Caenorhabditis elegans: one gene and its partner. The protein of the gene in region 2 interacts with the protein of the main gene of each other region in a pairwise test. Each region holds a gene or a part of one and is shown on either strand. Other genes may lie near its edges.

Region 1 (10,809 bases), on a different chromosome or scaffold from region 2:
TTTTTTCTGTCGACTGGTTCGTATTGAACAGCTTTTCTTTCATATTTTCAAACATTTTCACTCCGACGTTTCAATTTTTTTGAGAGGCGTTCAGTTTGAAATCTGGGCATGAAGTTTTTAGTCAACATTTTCTTCTGAACTATGGCCATAGGTATAGGTATAAAATTTGAAATTAAAACATGTTTTACTATAAAATGTTCAACAATTTCTTGTCTTCTAGTAGCGAACGACGTAAATGATTCCAAAATTCGCGAAACTTGGTGAAACAACTTTAGAATATAGGTCCTCCTTGTACAGTTCATGGAGTTAAAGTTTCTTTTTTTAACATAAAATGAACCATCTTGTGCAATTTGGGTTTTCCCTATTTTGCAACTTTTCATTAATGATTATTTTATTTTTTTTTTTTTTTTAAGTTTTTTATTTTAAAAAAACCTGGCCTCGCTCCGACTGATATAATTTCAAATCGAGGCGGCGCTAATAATGAATGCGCCATTAAGAAGTACAGTAACCCGCTCTATTTAATTATCGATTCTTAAATTTTCCTATGTTTTTAATATTGGTTTTTCATGTTTGTTGTAATAGAAAACATCAAAGAAAATTTGGAGAAAGCGATGCATTTGGTTACTGTACTTTTTAAAGACGCACATTTAAAAAATATTTTTTTAGCCTTTCGTTTGAACTTTTAAAGTGTCTTCTTATGAACAATTTTAATAAATTGGTGGTAAGATTCATGAATTCAAACCTGTGAAGCCGAAATCTCCATCCCGAGTCGTTGATCATCAATTATCTTTTTCATTGCCAACTCACTAAATCATCAATATTACTTAAATCTAAAAAAGAAACAATGATGAACTCACTCCAAATCAATGTTATCCTGCAAAATCCACGGCTGTATCTCACTAATGTTACTTATAATTGTGTCCAAGCATATTTCAAGTCCCTTTTTACACTCTGATCCAATATTTATATCAAAATCATATTCAGGTGATGGATATAGATGTTCGAATCTTAAATTTTTGAAATTTTTTTTTCAAATAATTTATTAAATAGAATTTACCCATTTTCTTCAACACCCCAAGCCACAAGTTTTTTGAAAACTCGAAAATATGTAGCTAAAATTCCAATTTTAACGGATATCTCATCTGTTCGATCTTCCACAATTATTCGAGAGTACTCGCTAAACTTATGATTTTAAAATTGTTTCTTTCGTTGTCAACGCACTCCTTAATTGCACTATTATAGTCTACGTTGTATGAAGTCAGAAGCTTGAGAGTCACTTCCTCGTCATCTTCAATTGACGAAGCCGGTGACGCAAGAGCTATGAAGAACAGAATACATATTTTGAAATTCATCATTGAAAAAGTGTTATACACAAATTGATAAATAAAATACATTCAATTTGTTGAGATGTGTTGACAATTACGTGACGACCCGTGAATTGTGAAGCGGCGTAAAAAGACGATCAAATTGAGTTCTCCAATTGTTTGTTAACCTTAAAAATATTAATTTGTTTATTAATTCTTGTTTCAATTCACTTTTTCATCAATTTCTTTGTCCAGTTCATCGTGCACCCACTCCTTTTCGAACTCCACGCGTATTTGTCGATTAATGTCGTTGCGCATTCTATAAGAGAGATAATTCAGATTTTAACCATTTCCTCACGGACTCACTTTGCATTTTCATTCATGAAATCTTTCATTTTCCGTTGAATTTCTTCTTGCGTAAGATTCGCTGACGATGCAATGATTTCATCTACTTTAACCAACATTTCATTCTGTAATACATTTTATTCAATTATTGTATTCTGACAAAAACACCAACCTCAATCCGGTGCACCAATTTTGAATCCTTGACGTGCTCAATTGCTTGTTTTCGCAGTTTATCGAAAGTTCCTCCTTTTTTCAACTCCATCTCAACATTCCCCACGATTTTGTCCTCATCGATGTATGGGCAAGACATTTTTTGAATCTGAAATTTAAAAAATTAAATGTTTTCACAATTTTAAATGAATGAACAAATAAATATTTATAAAGAATTCTTTAAAGAATTAAGAAAAACTAATTTCCCTTCAAAAAATTCTCCGTAAATCGACAGGGACTAGAAAATGCTAGTCCGCGGCCATGACTAATCAGAGTGAAAACGCGCTCCAATATCTAGCGAACAGTTTTTTGAAAGTTAGTTTTTTTAATTTTTAATTTTCTATTCTCTCATTTATAAGTAAAAATAAAACTTAATTGTAAATTAAACAATTTCAATTTTTATTCATTTTTATAAAACAAATTTCAAACTTTTTTCCGAGTATATTTTGAAAAACGATTCTCACCTAAATTATATTTATGCGGATGTTTTTTCATGGAACTTTTTATTTTTTTCAATTTTCGTCTTTTGAGTTTTAATCATAAAACTTCTAACTAAAACCTTCTTGTTTTCTTTTTTCAAATTTGTATTTAAACTTGTGCTCTTCATTCTTCAATTTTTGAATGTGTAATTGAAAAAAGCATCAAAGAAGTCATACTCGCTAAAAACAATGTCAAGAAAAATCTCATGCCCATGCGTTCATTTTTCTCTCAATATCATCACGTTGATGGTTACTGGTGTATGCTTGTATGCGCCTCTCGTTGTGAGCGTCAATGAGGAAGACCAGTGTGTAAGGGGGTAGATGCAGAGACACATCTGTGATGAGACGAGAGATGCAGACAGTTAAAGATAGTGTAGAGAGCGTACTCAATGGTGGAGTGTTCTGTTCAGGTCTCCTCGGTTAGTGCTGTGTCTAGTTGCGTATACACATACACACACTTGCTTTAAAATCAATTTGCGTCTTCGCCTATTGCAATACAAAACGGTGTGTGTATGTATGCGGGTGTATCTCTATGTATATATATATTTCTTTCTCTGACGCCATCACACCCAGAAAGCATCGATGCTTTCTCGTTGGTGATGATGACGCTGATGGTGATGATGATACGTTTGGGGCGCATCGAGCTTTTTCTTCGCTCGTCTGAAAATAAAAAAAAACATATTTGTGCTTATAATTATTACCGCCTCACCAAATGGTGTCTTGAGAGTTTATACGAGCGATTTTTGTTAAGCGCTGTCTTACTAAGACCCCTACCATTACTTGTCGTGTGCGTCAAAGCATATGACCTTGTGGCGTCCATTCACTGCGTCTCTCGATCGATACCCGTGCCTGTGTCTGTGTGTGTCTGTTTCGCAGCCGGCATCGCCTTTTATTCTCCCCTCTTACTAACTTGCGTCCCGTCTCGCCCTCTTTCGATCTCCTGTTTCTTCTTTGTGCATTTTCTTCGAAAAATTGCATATAATTAATACAACAAAAAACAAAATAGTCCATAATTCCAGACTTAATCAACACGTTCGCCTACACGTTTTGCGATTGTGAGGCGACCTATGGAAACAAGATAATGATTCGGAAACAATAATGTCTTAGTAAGTGCACAATATTTTGGTTTATTTGGTATCATTGATGGGTCTGCATGCAGCAGCGCCCACCATGTCCACACCGCCGCTCCGTGTGTCTCTTTTATATGCACGTTCGTTTGGCCACGCCCATGCAGTATGAACTTGTGGACGCTCCGCCCACAGTCTCCCCCGTCCCTTGTCTCGCCGCCTCTCTTAGGCGGGGGCACAGCAGGAGGAACGAGGAGGAGATGCAGACTGAAAAACGTTTTTGACATTGCCCCAACGACGGTGTGGGCGGAGCCATACACACACAGCGCGGTCTCCATTTCATTTCATTTTCACTCCCAAAAAGCTGCTTGACTAACCTCTGATTTTTTGTTTTTTTTTCAGCGAAGAGGATGACTGGTTCTCGTACAGAACAGAGTTCAACAAACGGGCAGACAGTCCACGAGCAGCCGGGAACTATGATTTTGAGTCTGGAAACATTGATGTAAGTGTCATATCATGGAGGCCCAGAAAAACCCTCTTGAAATCAACGCGGGAATGCTCCACTCCTATGCCATGGGTCTCGTTAGGTATTTTCGTATGTCGTTTTGTTCGTTTTTCCTCTTTCTTAATGATTTTCTTGCAAAAATTGAGTCAATTTCCAACTTCACATATATTTACATATATTCAGCATAAAATGCGCTAAAACAACGGAGATCATAACGAAAAAAAAACGAAAATTTGCAAAATCAACATAAAGTTCTTCCTTTTTGTGATATCCTTGGTTTTCAATGATTTTTACACTGAAATTATGTTTTAAAATATATTTATATCACTTGTTTATGACATCAATTTCGGCGAGAAAATCAATAAAACAATGAAAAAACAACGAAAATGCTTGGAAATTGGCGAAATCACGGGTTTTCCGCTAAATACCTAATGAGACCTTTATCTGCGTACCCATAATACTAAATGCTCTTCTTTTTTTTTTTCATTTTCCAACTTTCATCGCTTTACAGAACATCCCACTCAATGATGACGGACCATTATCACCCAGTCAAGATTTCGATTTAGCTGGAACACTCGAGGAATACGAATCGTATGATTTGAGATTATCACCGAACGGAGGACTCAATCGAGAAGATCAACAACCAGGTCCCAGTGGAAATAACGATGGACAATATCATGTTATGCAGAATAATGATTCATTTGCCCAGCATATGCAATCATCGAATACAATTGTAAGTGTTCACACACATGATCACTTAATTATCAATTTTCATATTTTCAGGAGTATAACTCATTCGAAATGCCCACTGTTATCAATTCTAATCATGACGTCGGCCCGTATCAAGATCTTGGTATTGATGACCCTAATTCGTTTTATGCGGTATGTTTTTAATGGAAAAATTGAAGTTCAAAAAACTTTTCGAACAAAAATTGATATAAAAATGTTTTTAAAAAATAGAAAAGTCCGAAAAAGAGTTCGAATAGTACCGGAAAGTGAAATTTTTACCGGCAGAGGGCAACTAATATGTAATATTTGAGGTCTTTGTCGAACTTTTCCATAGAGTAAGGAAAACATTCATTTGATCTGAACATTTTTTTGTTGCAAATTCCAGAAATTAGCACAAAAAATCACATTTATACCGGAAAACGGCAATTTTTGGGCTCCAATTAAGTTTTTCTGAAGCTTTTCAGCGAAAAAAAAAACTATATTTTGCTACATTTTTATATTAATTTTTGATTTAACAATTGAATTATGATACTGAAATTTACAGTCCTGAAAAACTAGAACCTAGAAACATTTTTTAAAACTCTGATATTTTCTATATCTAAAATATTAAAATTGAAGTTTATAAAATTGTTAAAAATTATTTTTCTTTCAGAATCAACAGCCATCAACGTCACAAGGGAATGATATGATAATCAATGAGAACTATGAAATGATGGGTCCATCGACATCATATATGCCACAAATAGATCATATGAATCCTTCTGGGAACTCTTCTTCGCAGATTAATCATCAACAGGGAATGATTGTTCCACAAGTTCAACAACAGCCCGCAAAACCGAAGACAACAAAAAAGAGGCCTCCACCGAAGAAAAAGACAGCTGGTAACTTTTTTTTGCCTTATTTGCTCAATTTATTTGATTATTTTCAGCTCAAGCGCCTGATACAGTTGGTACAGTACTCACGAAAGTGAATAAATTAACTCAACAGATTGACAACAACAACGACAATCAAGAACAAAAAATTGAGACACGAATATCTGCGGAAGACTTGGTTCGAGTATGTTTGATTAAATCTTAAATCTAAAAATTTATAAATAAAAATTATTTTTAGGTCAGCGCGCTATTGAGCAGATTGGATGTATATCAGAAAGAACAGGCACAAGGAAATAACACTCATGATCAAGATATTGAAGCGCTTCAAGCTGAAATAGCACAGGTGTTTACCAAGAATATGGCAATGAGTGCGAATGATGCTCCAGGAAACAGTATACTTAGTCAAATTCAAAATCTCACAAGTATTGGTAGCTCAGCTTCATCATCTGCACAGCCTTCTCAACCTGCCAAAAAAGCTGCTCCCAAGAGAAAAACCGTACCGAATACGGCAAAAAATCTCGCTCAAAATCAGCAGATAATGCCACCACAGGCTCAAATAACGCCTACCAAACTCGTTATGGATCCTCCGACAACAACGATGGTTCCAAGTAGCAGTCAGTCGAATCATATGTATAGTAATGATGGCTTCACGACATACAATCAAATGGATGAACCCGGAACGAGTCAGCAACAACAATATAATGATTATCGACAGCCTCCATCTCAGGAATCAATGCAATATGGTCACCAACAGATTATTCAAGCAAGAGTTGTGCCTTCTATGAACCAGAAAACTCATAACTATCGTCAAGCAGTAGTGTTTGCATCTCCGAATACAAATGGACCGTCATCACAACTACAACGGCCACAATCCGGCATGGATCAAATGCAAGACCAACAATATCATGCTCAGGATCTTCAAGGATCCCAAGTTCAACAAACATTCGTTTCTGTACAACATGACGGGCAAATTTATCAAGAAGTGGAGCCAACGTTGAGAGATTTTGTTCGACAGGGAAGGTACCAAGGTCCACAGGATGCACCGCATCTTCGGCAACAGTTGATCACAAATGTAAATGCGACAACAAACAAGCAAATGGTTCATCGAAGTCAAGATCCGACACCATCGCCTGGAAACCTCCAACAATTCGGTGAACCTCTTCAACGCCATGGAAGCTATCCACATAGTCATGATATGAGACCAAATTCACATTCACAATCTCAACACAGCTACAGTAATCATTACGATGGAGCCACCGAGTTCTTTGATGTGTCAATGCAACATCAAGATAGTCAAATGTCACAAATTCAACCAGGATCACAACATTATGTTCAACAACAAGAGCTGTATCATCCAATTGGAGATCAACAACAAATGGTTGAACCTGAATCAGAATATCCGGTTCCCCAGGTTACCAATGAGTTGAGCGAAGAAGAGTTGAGAGCTATAATGGAAGAAAAACGACAGATTCGACAGAAACGATTGAAAGATATCATGATAGATCAACTGAATCGATTAGAAGAGCCCGTGGATGTAACTCCTTTCAGAAATAAGATGGATGTTTTGGAACGACTACTTCCATATCATCATTTTGCAAATGAAGAAGAACCAGTGTCAGATTGTAAGTTTTTTTTCAATTTGGAAACAAAAACTAGCTATTTGAGTATCGCTTCAATGAAAATGAAAAATGTATTTTTCAATTAAAAATAACATTGAAACATTAAGAAAAATGTTTTTTTTTTAAATTTCCTCAACCCTTTATCATTTTACGTTTTTCAGTTGATTCTACGTTTCAAAGAGTTATGGATAATGCTGTACATCAGGCGAATTCCATCGGAAATCGAATTCGAAATATCGTACTTCGTGATACTATGAGATCTTCGACAGAGTGGGAAGAGAACATGATCTTGTTCCTTGAAACAGAATCGGAGCGTCGAAAACTGGAAGATGATAAGAAATTGGCTGATCAAGATCTGAGCACATTTTTGCGTAATAGTGATATAATTCAAAACGTGAGAGCTAGAAGATTGGATGTGGAACGAACGCGACTAAGGGTTCCTCGAATTCCAGCACATTTGAAAGGTTGGCAAAACTTTTTGAAAAAAATCTATAATATAATTCTTTTTCAGAACTTGATCTTCAAAACGGCCAGCTTTCGTCGCTGTATCGAGAATACGAGTTCGATTCATACGATGAAAATCGTCCACGTGGATCACCATTTGTCTACGAAGAGCCAGAATCGGAATCTGAGTCGGAACCAGAAGCAGAGCCAGAACCGAAGAAGGACAATTTCGCCGAACCGGAACCAGCTCGTGGCGATATTTCTCCACTCATCGGTTTCCCTCAATTATCACCGATTCCTTCTCCGTCAAGATATCGAAATGAGAGTGAGAGCACGTTTGATTGGAAAGATGAAGATGAATCCCCGTTGTTGTCTCCAGAAACTGAAAAAATCAACAAAGCTGCAGATCAGTTTCGAAAGGAAATTTTTGGGACTCAAGAAGATTTGGATAAATCGGAACCATTTCCGTTTGAACAAATATCTGAAGCTGCTCGGAATCAACATCTCATCACAGCTCAACCACAACTTCCTCGAGTGGATGCCAGCTCAATTGGATCTCTTGCAAGTTCTTCATCGACAGTTGATCACAGTCCACAATCCATCCATCCAGTTTTCTCACCCAAAGCTGCAATCCAGTCAAGTTCAGTTCAAGTTATGAAGCCTCCACGAAGTCCTAGTTCTGTTTCGTGTAAACTATCAACGCCATGTGTTGAACAGTCTCTACCAGAGGAAAGTCATTATGAAGGTTCACCTGAAATTGACGAGGATTATGATATGTCTCCGATCAGAGAAAATGAGCCGGCCGAACTAATTTCACTTCCAATTTCAGTAAATATGATCAAGAAAGAGAAAGAGGATTCTACTCCAAAGTTGAAATTACGGATCCCAGCTGCTGTTCTTCAGAATGGTATTGTTGCAAGTGAAGATGAGAGTGATGTGGCAGTTGAGGAAACTATTCCTGCGATTCGGAAGCCGCTTAAGCTGAGGTTCAATCTAAAAGATATCAAGTTGGAAGAACCGTCACCAGATCGAGATGTAGCTAGCAGTCGTCCAAAATCGAGAACTGAGCCGCCTCCAACTCCAGAAAAGTTGCATGTTAAGATAAAAGCTTCACCAGCTGAGACGACGCCAACGAAGTTACAATTGAAAGAAAAGTCGCCAGCAAAAACGCCAGTTTTCAAGACTCCACTGCAAACTCCGATCAAGATGACACCTTCGCCATCTGAATCGAGAAAACGTAGAAGTGCAAAAATCGAGGATAGTCCAGCCCAGAAGAAGAAACTTTTGAATTCGGGTAGCAGCTTTGTAACTCCAAAGAATGGATTGAGGGCTGAACTGGACGAGACTGTCGAGAGACCTCTACGAATTATGACCGATGGACGGAAGATTGTGATGAAGATTAGCAAAGTTTCGAGAAACATCAATCACTTTGTTACACCGCGCAGAGATAAGAAAGGAAATCTTCATAAAGATCTATCCCCGACGAATTATACACGATTAACGATGAAGCTGATGAAGAAGAAAGGGGAATTATCAGTTGAATTCACTGAAACTCCCAATAAGAATAGTGAGGAAGACGATCATAAGATTCCAAACATTCCTAGCACGAGTACTTCAATTCCACCTGCTTCAACAGTCGTTTCTTCCGTTTCCGTGAAGGGTAGACCTGCTCCTGCTTCAAGAAAATCGTCGATCGACACTGCTGGAAAGGACAAGAAAGGGCAATTAGCAAAGAATAAAGCTGCGTTTTGCAATCGTTTTAATCCTTTCGCAAACGTTCCCAGTTCGAAACCATCGACTTCTTCTGCTGTTTCTGCTACTCCCTCAACATCTTCTGCAGTATCCGCAAAGCTTCCAACAGGAAAGACACCTGGTCGCCCCGTCGCTCTTTCAACTCCAAGATCTTCGCATAAGCCACCACAAGCAGTTGTTGCTCCACGTCCAAATTTGATTCGAACTGCTCCGGTTGTACCGAAAATCACTGTCACAAATGCATCGGAGAGCAGTCTTCCTTCTAAATCTCATATCCCAATTGAAGTGAAACCAAAGTTGTCTTCACTTCTTCCATGGGTATCAGACACCGATGAAAGCCCTGAACAGAAGCATAAATTGAAGAAAACGATGCCTTCAATTAATTTATTAAAAGTGAAAACGGAACCTCCGGAAGCTGATGCTGTTACATCAAAGGTAAAATTATATTAATTTTAAAAAAATGTATTTAAATATAAAAATTGTATTCTTAGCCTGAATCTCCTCGTGCATCATCGTCGATGTCGTTTTTTGAAGACGCATTTCTACGATCCCCAAAACGATCGAATGAGCCACTGCCTGTTGTCGAATTTTCTGGTGAGTTCAATTATTCATCAGTTCCAATATAAATATACTCAAGTTATAAATAAAAGTGTTTGAAAAATTCCCAACTAAAAATAAATAGATTTCGTGATTTAGTTTTTTTTCAATTTCAGACGACGAGGAGAACGATTTGGCTCATTCGACATTCAGTCATGCCACTGATCATTTGCTAGGAACTAGCAATATGAACAGCTCAACAAATGGATCTTCATCAGGTCTACCTTGGTCCACGGATCCCTAAGTGCCATACGACGTCTCATGGCTGGTCCATCAATACAATCCCCATTTCTCAATTTTCTAGACTGTGATTCTGCCTTCCCATTCCCAAAAATCATCGAGCCCGTTACATTATAGGATATCTATGTGCTTACTATTTATAATCTCTCTTTTTTTCATAACTTAAGACCTCTTTCTCATTCATTTTCATGGTGCTTTTTTCTCAAACCTTCCCCATCAAACACATCCTTTTTTGATTTCATTGAAGAATCGGTCTCGACACGTACACCACGTCTTTTACAGAAGAAACCTCCCTATGTACTCTTCTGGTTGTTCTTGTCTAATAGTCAATTCACTTTTCGAATTTTTTTTTCCATCGAACTCACTATTTTCTCTTTTGTTTAGTCAATCTACCCCATTTCTCATTCCGTGCTCAAAACTCCCTTCATTTTTCATTGTTACATTTTTGTGAGTTCCAATTGATAATTGTGATTTTCGCGGGTACGAGATCTGTTTTCCAATTGTTATCATTTATATTTACTTATTCCTGATTTTTTTTGTTCATTTTACATATATATCTGTTCCATAGATGTAGTTTTTTTTCCATTTTCAAAATGTATAATTTAAAGTAGTAAATACTTAAAATTTTACAAAAATAGAAAACTGA
Region 2 (7,445 bases):
ACAAAGAGTAATGGAAAGGAGGAAGCAAATTTTAGCAGATTGTGAAATATTAAAGGTTTGAATTCTTAGAAAAATCTGTCTTTTAACAAAGAGGCTTATCAAACTAAATAGCGCCCGTTCAGCGAATTTCAATCGGAAAACAGTTTACTGAACAGAAGATTTATATTACGGGAACACAAAATTCCGAGAATGCGTACTGCTCATCATATTTGACGCGAAAAATATCTCGTAACGACAACTACAGTAATTCTTGAAATTACTACTGTAGCTTCCATTTTCCCTCGTTTCGCCGTGTACTTTTCTCATTTTTTGCAGAATTTTAATATTCTATCGATAAAGCAATGATTAATTCATTTCAAAAAGCGAGCACGTAAATCGACACAAACGCTACAGTAGTCATTTCAAAAATTACTGTAGTTTTCGCGACGAGATATTTTGCGCAATACATTCTCAGAATTTTGTGTTCCAGTAATATGTCCACTTTCTAAAATAAATTTTGGACGAAAAAAACTAAACTCTCATAAAATAATCCTAAATAGTTACTGAGAATCACTAAATTTCAGCTCTCTTGTTCCGTTTTCGACGCTCTAAATGATTTTTCCACGGAATCTTATCCTCAAGGGATGTGGACTATAGTTCCCGCAATTATGAAATTGCCGTTTATTTCTGATTGGATAATCATCGCAGAAGATACTTCTGAAATTAATATTTCAAACTTACCGAAGTTCTTCGAATCTGAACCATCTTCTGATATGGTATTTTCCGGGTTTGCACTTCAGGATCGAGAGTAAGTTTGAGATTTTTTAGGGAATTTTAGCTTCGACGAAAAACTACGGAACCTGGTCTCGACACGACCGATGATGTAAAAAAAGAGAGATGTGTGTCTTTAAAATGTACAGTAGTCTCCATGCCTCACTGGTTTTCTTTCGTTTTCCAGTTGCTCTACTTTTTCATTTTTAAAAACCGAGTATACGAAAAAGCTGCAAAAAACAGAAAAGTTGGAATTGAAAAAAAAACAAACCGAGAGACTACTGTACTTCTTAAAGGCGCACACTCGTTTTAATTTGAACAGATTCGGTCGTATCGAGACCTGTTACTGTATTTTTGCATTACAAATTGTAAAATTTCGCATCTGCCTAATAGAGAAATGATAGATTTCAAAATTTCAAAATTTCAAAGTTTCTACAAAACAAAAGTCCAAAATATAAAAAAAAAACTGTTAAGCCCGACAATTATCCATCACTTTGGAATGAATGCTCCTGAAAATTTCCAATATCCCTTATTTTCTGCTGGTTTTATCTTGTCAAAAAGTGTAGTTGAAATTATTCGAAAAGTCGATATAAACGATCGATGGTCCGGATTTGCAATTGATGCAAAATATGAGGTATTACCATTTCCAGATAATATTATTTCTCAAACGATTTCACATTTTAGTTTGCTCAGTTTTTACACAAATGGGAAAATTTGAGGCTTCACCATCATCCTGATTATTTTTGTTGTGGAGATACCATTGATAGTTGCATTGTAAAATGTTCAATTCCCTTTCCAAAAACGTCAAATTCAATTTCTGATTCTGAAGTTCATGTCATGGTCAAAACGTTCGAAGGACATCATGTGAACCGACTTGAAGTTCTCAAAAACACTTGGGCATCCGACGTGTCACGCATAGAGTACTGTAGCGACAAAGAGGATCCGGCAATTCCAACAATCAATCTAGGAGTCGACAATACGGACAGAGGACATTGTGCAAAGACATGGGAAATATTCAGAAGATTTTTGGGAAGTTCTGGAAATGGAGCGAAATGGCTTGTAGTAGCCGATGATGATACATTGATGAATTTCAAACGGTTGAAGCAAATGTTAGAGTTATATGATTCTGGAGATAAGGTAGGTATTTCTAATTTCATAGATCTTACTATTAATGAGTATCTTTAAAACATTTCAGATAATTATTGGCGAGCGCTATGGATATGGATTTAGTTTGAATGGTGACAGTGGATATGACTATCCCACTGGCGGATCTGGGTTTGTTCAAATAGTTTTTCTAGATTTCTCAATTTGTTTGACTTTCAGAATGATATTCACGCGCTCCGCAGTTGAATCTTTACTTGCACAATGCCCATCGTGTATTGCAAATACTGATCCGGATGATATGACGATCGGAATTTGTGCACTAACAGCTGGAATTCCAATTGTTCACGAATCTAGATTACATCAAGCGAGACCTCTAGATTATGCTCCGGAGTACATAAAATATCCAATATCATTTCATAAATTTACTGATATAGATCCAATTTCAGTATATTACGAGTACCTAGTAGAATTAGAAGAATATAATCACAAATCTGAGCTTTAGGAAAACGACATGTATAACAGGAATGTGTTATTGTTATTACGAGTATCATTCATTGAATAATAAATTCTTCATCTTGAACTTCTACTTTTCCGGTTTAATCATCAAAAGTGACGAGTTTTGTTGCGATTTCAGATATGCACTAAGCTTCGATTCCGGCTCTTGATACGGGAATGCGGTATAAATAATTATTGAAACAATGACCATAAATGTGCCAAGAAGGAACATAAAACCAGGAGCAAAATCAAAAAGAATCCACGATCCAACCGCAGCTCCGATGATTGCCATACTCTGTAATATATTATTTTTGTATTGGACATCAGATGAATTTCTTGCCTGAGCATATGCTTTTAGAATGTTGTCGGCGTACTTTATTACCACAGATATCAATATTCCACCAACTGAATTGGTGACTGTCAAGCAAACGACCACGAAGTCCCAACCACGGAATGCGCCTTCTGAAAAATTAGAATTTTTTAGAAATAAAAGTGAATTTAAGTTTTTTATCATTCTCCTGTTTAAATGATAATTTGTAAATTATTGATTTTAGAAATCTACAGTATTTTCTCTATGCACCCAAAATTTTGACGGCGTATATATACGCCGTCAAAATTTACGCGTATATCTTAGTTGTCATTTGTCCTATAAAAAAGTTATCAATTGATAAAATGTTTATCATTTCTTTTTCTATCGTTTTGCAACTGATTATTTTTTGATATTGTCAAGCTGAGTCAAGATATACCTACTTAAAGTAAAGTAGTGGGGTGAAATACTTTTAGAGGAGATACGGTCTTTTTACAGATGAATTAAGCAAACGCGAAATATGAGAAAAACGAGCGTTTTTACAATATTTGTAACCTAAAAACTAGAGTTTTCTGCAAGTAAAATACTCATGGTTCAATTCAAAAATCGACTCGCAAGATGTAAGCTGCTTCAACTTTATCCAGGGCCGCCTTGATAAAAAACATTCATCAGCAAAAATGGAGACAAATATGTGCACAACATTTTCTCACTAGAACTTTTTTTTTGAAAAATAAACTTTTATTGCCATTTTCTAAAAGATTCCCTGATTTTCTTACCAGCGAATGTTCATTCTTTGGCAACAATTTTGTTTTCGCCGTTCTCGACCTATCGCTCGCGCCACACTCCCCCCACAAAACCATTGTTATTCATCCGCGACCGTTTTGAAACACTTGATGCAACGAATGCAGAAGCTCTCTTTTCTTCATGCTCACATACAGAGCAACAGGCAATGGTCAGTGTGCAAACAGAATGCGGGTGGGGCAAGCATGTGCTCTGGCTCTGTTCCTTCCATCGGATTGTCTGCTTTTTCAAGAGGTGTGAAAAGAAAAGAAAATTGACAATGGGCACGGAAGGGGTGAAGCGGATCCATCTCTTTTCTTTTCTTTATCGAAGACACACTCAACACACAACTGTATACCTCTCAGGCTACGACCGATGATCTTTCCGGTTTCATTGACACCTCCTTACAACCCACTTTTTTCAATTTAAAAGTTTTCTTTCGAAATTCGAAACCCGGTTTACTTAAAACTATTAGCAACTCACGTTCATTTATTTTTTCCCAGTCATAGTACCACATTGAAAGAAATGAAATTGGAAGTCCGATGAGTGCAAGACGAATGTTTTGAACCCAAATTGATGCATTGCTAGATTTCAAAACTTTTTCCAAGTAGACACCTGAAAAAATAAAATCAGTTCTATTTTGGGATAAGAGAGGGATAACCTGGACAAACAAATCACTTGATTTCAAAAAAAAGTTGAACATCAAATGGAAATGGTCATTCAAAACACAGAGGATGTGTTATCTACCAAAGCTATTATATAAATAATGGTACACAATAGGCACTACTGTATTTTTAAGATAAGTAACTTTTTAGTATAATTCTTTTTTGTTGCAAATTTCCATGGGAATGAACATTTGAAAATTTAGATTGTATTAAAATTTCTCACAACAGCAACTTCGCCGCAGTAAAAGCAACTTCTGCCTCCCACAACTTTACTACCAATTTTAACAACTTTCCAGTTTGGCATGTATACAGTTGCTAGAGTTGGACTGTTGTTGAAAGCCCATTTATTGCAATAAAAATTTCCAATTGTTATTCTACGACTACAAAAGCTCAACAATCAACTCAATCAAGGTGAATGGTCCATTGGAATATTTGGAGATGCTCTTCCATATTTTCAGCAGATTTTTGCTATTACTGGCATAAAAAGTTGTGAGTTAAATGCTGCAAAAAACTTGTAATTTAACCGTATTTTTAGGTGTACAAAATATTATTGTACAAAATAATGTCGTAGTATTGAAAAATATACAAATGAAATAGCCTTATCCCAAATTCCCTTTTTTTTGCAAATTTCCATCCGGTCCTTCCAAATCATTTTAAACTTGTACCTGCAAATGCTGAAGTGAAACACATTGTGAGCACTGCCATGAATCCATACATTGGGTTCTGCTCAACATCTTCACTTGCTGGAGGCGGTGAGTATACGTACTGAATGTCAGCAACTCCCAACACCAAGAGAACAAGTGCCCACCACTGTTTCGTTGACAATTTCTTTCCCAGGAAAAAGTACATGAAGATTGCAGTTGTAAAAATTTTCATTTGATATGATATCTGAAAAAATGAACCATATACTGAATTTTGAACATATTTGCGCATTGTTCCTATGATCCCCTATTTGTTTTTCATGTCGCCGAAACACTTGACTTTTTTGTTTCTGTGTTCGCTTCCTCAAGCTCCTTACACAGAAAGTTGTCGCCTCCAAATGGGATAGAGCAATGTAGTACAGATTGTTTTGAAGAGTGTAGATAAGGGCTGGAATGCAGACTTTCAGAGTTTCAGAACGATGCTCAAATATTGCCAATTTCAGCTCGTTTATGTATCTGGAAATAACTTTAATAGGAAGCTGAGAATGTCAATTTTTGTAGATTTTGAGATTTTTAAACAAACACGATGTTTACATATTCATAAAATTTTGTCAAATTTAGAGCAATTTTTAATCGATGTTATAAAATTAAATCGACGATTTAAAGATAACAATTTTTAAATCAATGAAAAAAATTCACTCACTTCATAACGGATTTGGTTGTGTAAATCATAATTGCTGAGCAGACCACTACTTTTATAATTTCCATCATGAATACATTTACAGTTGTAAAGAACACATTCGAATCTTCTCTGGCTCGAGAGTACCTAGCCATTAATGGCATGCTGAAACTTCCCACATACAAACTCAAAAAATATTAACAATGCCCACCTTGCTTGTTGAATAGTGAGCAGGAGAATACCAAAGTATTTAAACTTTGAGTCATTTTCACTTGAACTCATTTTGATAGTTCAAGTGCAGAGTATAGAACTGATGAAAAATGGAAGAATTTAGGAAAGAACACGAAGATGAACTAGCTATTCGTCTGGGACGACACGATGACGATGAAGATTGCTATCGGTTGACGGTTAGAAGCCTCCTGAAAAGATCCGAAATTGTGATTTCAATTAGATATATCCGTATGAGAGGAGACAGGGGAGAATAAGGTGGATAATAAGTTCAGTGAGGTGGATGCCAAGATTTGGACATTTTTCAGAATGGATACTTTATGTACATCAAAACTACACAGCTTATAACAATGTTATTGTATGAAAAATCCCTGAAAAACGAATAGAAATGGAAAAAACTGGTAACAATCCTTCACCAGGTATCCCAATGAAACGCTTAAAATCCCATGTTCATGTGTAGTTTGATCAAGGATGCAACCAGCATTCGAGGAACCTGATGATAATCATTCGATCTTCCAGATTATTCGCCTTACAGATTTAATTCAAACCACCGTAAGGGTATTTGGAAAGTATAGATTCCATGTAACAACGTTTATACAAATAAGTTCACTCCTGAAAAATATTTATTCTGGTATAAAATTCGAGAAAAACCTTTAAAAGTTGTCTTAATTGTCATTGCTTTTTTGGCATATGGCAACTTTAAGGAACTATTTGAGGTCTTTTTCTCAAACTTTTCAAAAAAAAAAAATTCTTTCAGGTAGAAAAAATATTTTCCAAAATTCCTCGATTAATTTTTGATTTAAAAATTTCAATAATTAACCTGAAAACAACAGTTTTGTTGTCTAAACAGTTTGCAGCACTCCAATGGCTCTAACGATACTCGCCGTGAAGACACGCTATGCCTTGTAGTAGACGTTTAAGTTTTGATGAAACGTAAAGGAATGGGAGGGTTACAATATGTCTTTGATGGCCACTAGGAGCTGTTGGTAGACCCAAGCTGAAATGAATGGCTTCAATGCATTTTCAACCTTCAGACGACAGGGAATGATTTGTTTTATTTTTATCGCCTATTTGCCAAGCGTTTCAAATCCTCTGGTCAAGTCTATCTTACTTCTGAAAAAATTACCAAACTTTCTAGAAGTTGCTTTTGATATAGAACCTTTATTTTTGTTTTTCTCTAGTATTTAAAGTGTTTTATTTGCTAGCGCTTGCATTTTCAATTACTGTTTCATACTTTCTATATGCATATTAACTTTTACAAGTTGAACTACACCAGGACGCTTGGAATCTCGAACATTCGACCTTCTTCCGACGTTTTGTTTGACATCCGACAGCCTATTGATGTTCTAAAGATATGATCCGGATTTGGGGATTCGGCATCCCTATCCACTTGAATGCTTGCCCTCTGCTCAATTCTCACCTCTTTATTTTTTCTAAAATATGCAAAGACAAACACAATCGGGGCGGCAATGTGTCATCGAGTCGCCACCATGCCTTTGTTCTCTAATGAGCGAGGAGCGCATGAGATCGTTTCCCGAAATACTTCCGTTCGCCCACCCCCCGTATTCTTGAACTCCTCCTTCACATATTTCTTTGGCATATTTCAGTGATTGTCTAGCCACAAGTCTCCAGAACCCCCTCGTCAGCGGCTCAGCGACACTAGACAAAACGGCGAACGAACTTTCTCCTCTCCGCTGCTCGCCGCGTTCTATTCGTGACCCTCTCATCTCTTCCTCCATAGCGCCTATTTGCTCCACCCCCAAATAACTCCCCATCCTTGCTCAGAGAAGCTCGGC

Evidence for each region.
Region 1: the proteins of nstp-3 (region 2) and mig-38 interact in a two-hybrid assay, tested with the Caenorhabditis elegans proteins (one large-scale study listed by BioGRID).

Annotation. Positions count from the first base shown.
Region 1 is NC_003282.8:11,590,889-11,601,697, forward strand, and holds the start of mig-38 (Abnormal cell migration protein 38), read left to right. Parts: upstream 1-3,355; 5' UTR 3,356-3,436; coding exon 3,437-3,444; intron 3,445-3,493; exon of another isoform or gene 3,494-3,710; intron 3,711-3,807; coding exon 3,808-3,907; intron 3,908-4,421; coding exon 4,422-4,643; intron 4,644-4,693; coding exon 4,694-4,792; intron 4,793-5,291; coding exon 5,292-5,520; intron 5,521-5,567; coding exon 5,568-5,695; intron 5,696-5,749; coding exon 5,750-7,133; intron 7,134-7,291; coding exon 7,292-7,594; intron 7,595-7,641; coding exon 7,642-9,761; intron 9,762-9,817; coding exon 9,818-9,920; intron 9,921-10,039; coding exon 10,040-10,167; 3' UTR 10,168-10,809. Other genes in the region: spe-36 (EGF-like calcium-binding domain-containing protein), read right to left, coding at 743-806, 858-1,007, 1,058-1,177, 1,222-1,352; F40F11.3 (BOD1/SHG1 domain-containing protein), read right to left, coding at 1,463-1,492, 1,536-1,623, 1,671-1,774, 1,822-1,968, 3,113-3,115. UniProt on the Caenorhabditis elegans protein: During gonad development, involved in distal tip cell (DTC) migration from the dorsal side of the hermaphrodite body to the midbody which allows for the formation of gonad arms.
Region 2 is NC_003283.11:5,792,426-5,799,870, forward strand, and holds nstp-3 (UDP-galactose transporter), read right to left. Parts: upstream 5,760-7,445; 5' UTR 5,704-5,759; coding exon 5,633-5,703; intron 5,587-5,632; coding exon 5,446-5,586; intron 5,259-5,445; coding exon 5,120-5,258; intron 4,990-5,119; coding exon 4,767-4,989; intron 4,052-4,766; coding exon 3,920-4,051; intron 3,722-3,919; exon of another isoform or gene 3,510-3,721; intron 2,812-3,509; coding exon 2,690-2,811; intron 2,645-2,689; coding exon 2,438-2,644; 3' UTR 2,357-2,437; downstream 1-2,356. Other genes in the region: ZC250.2 (N-acetylgalactosaminide beta-1,3-galactosyltransferase), read left to right, coding at 1-55, 564-787, 1,225-1,384, 1,435-1,887, 1,946-2,025, 2,074-2,356.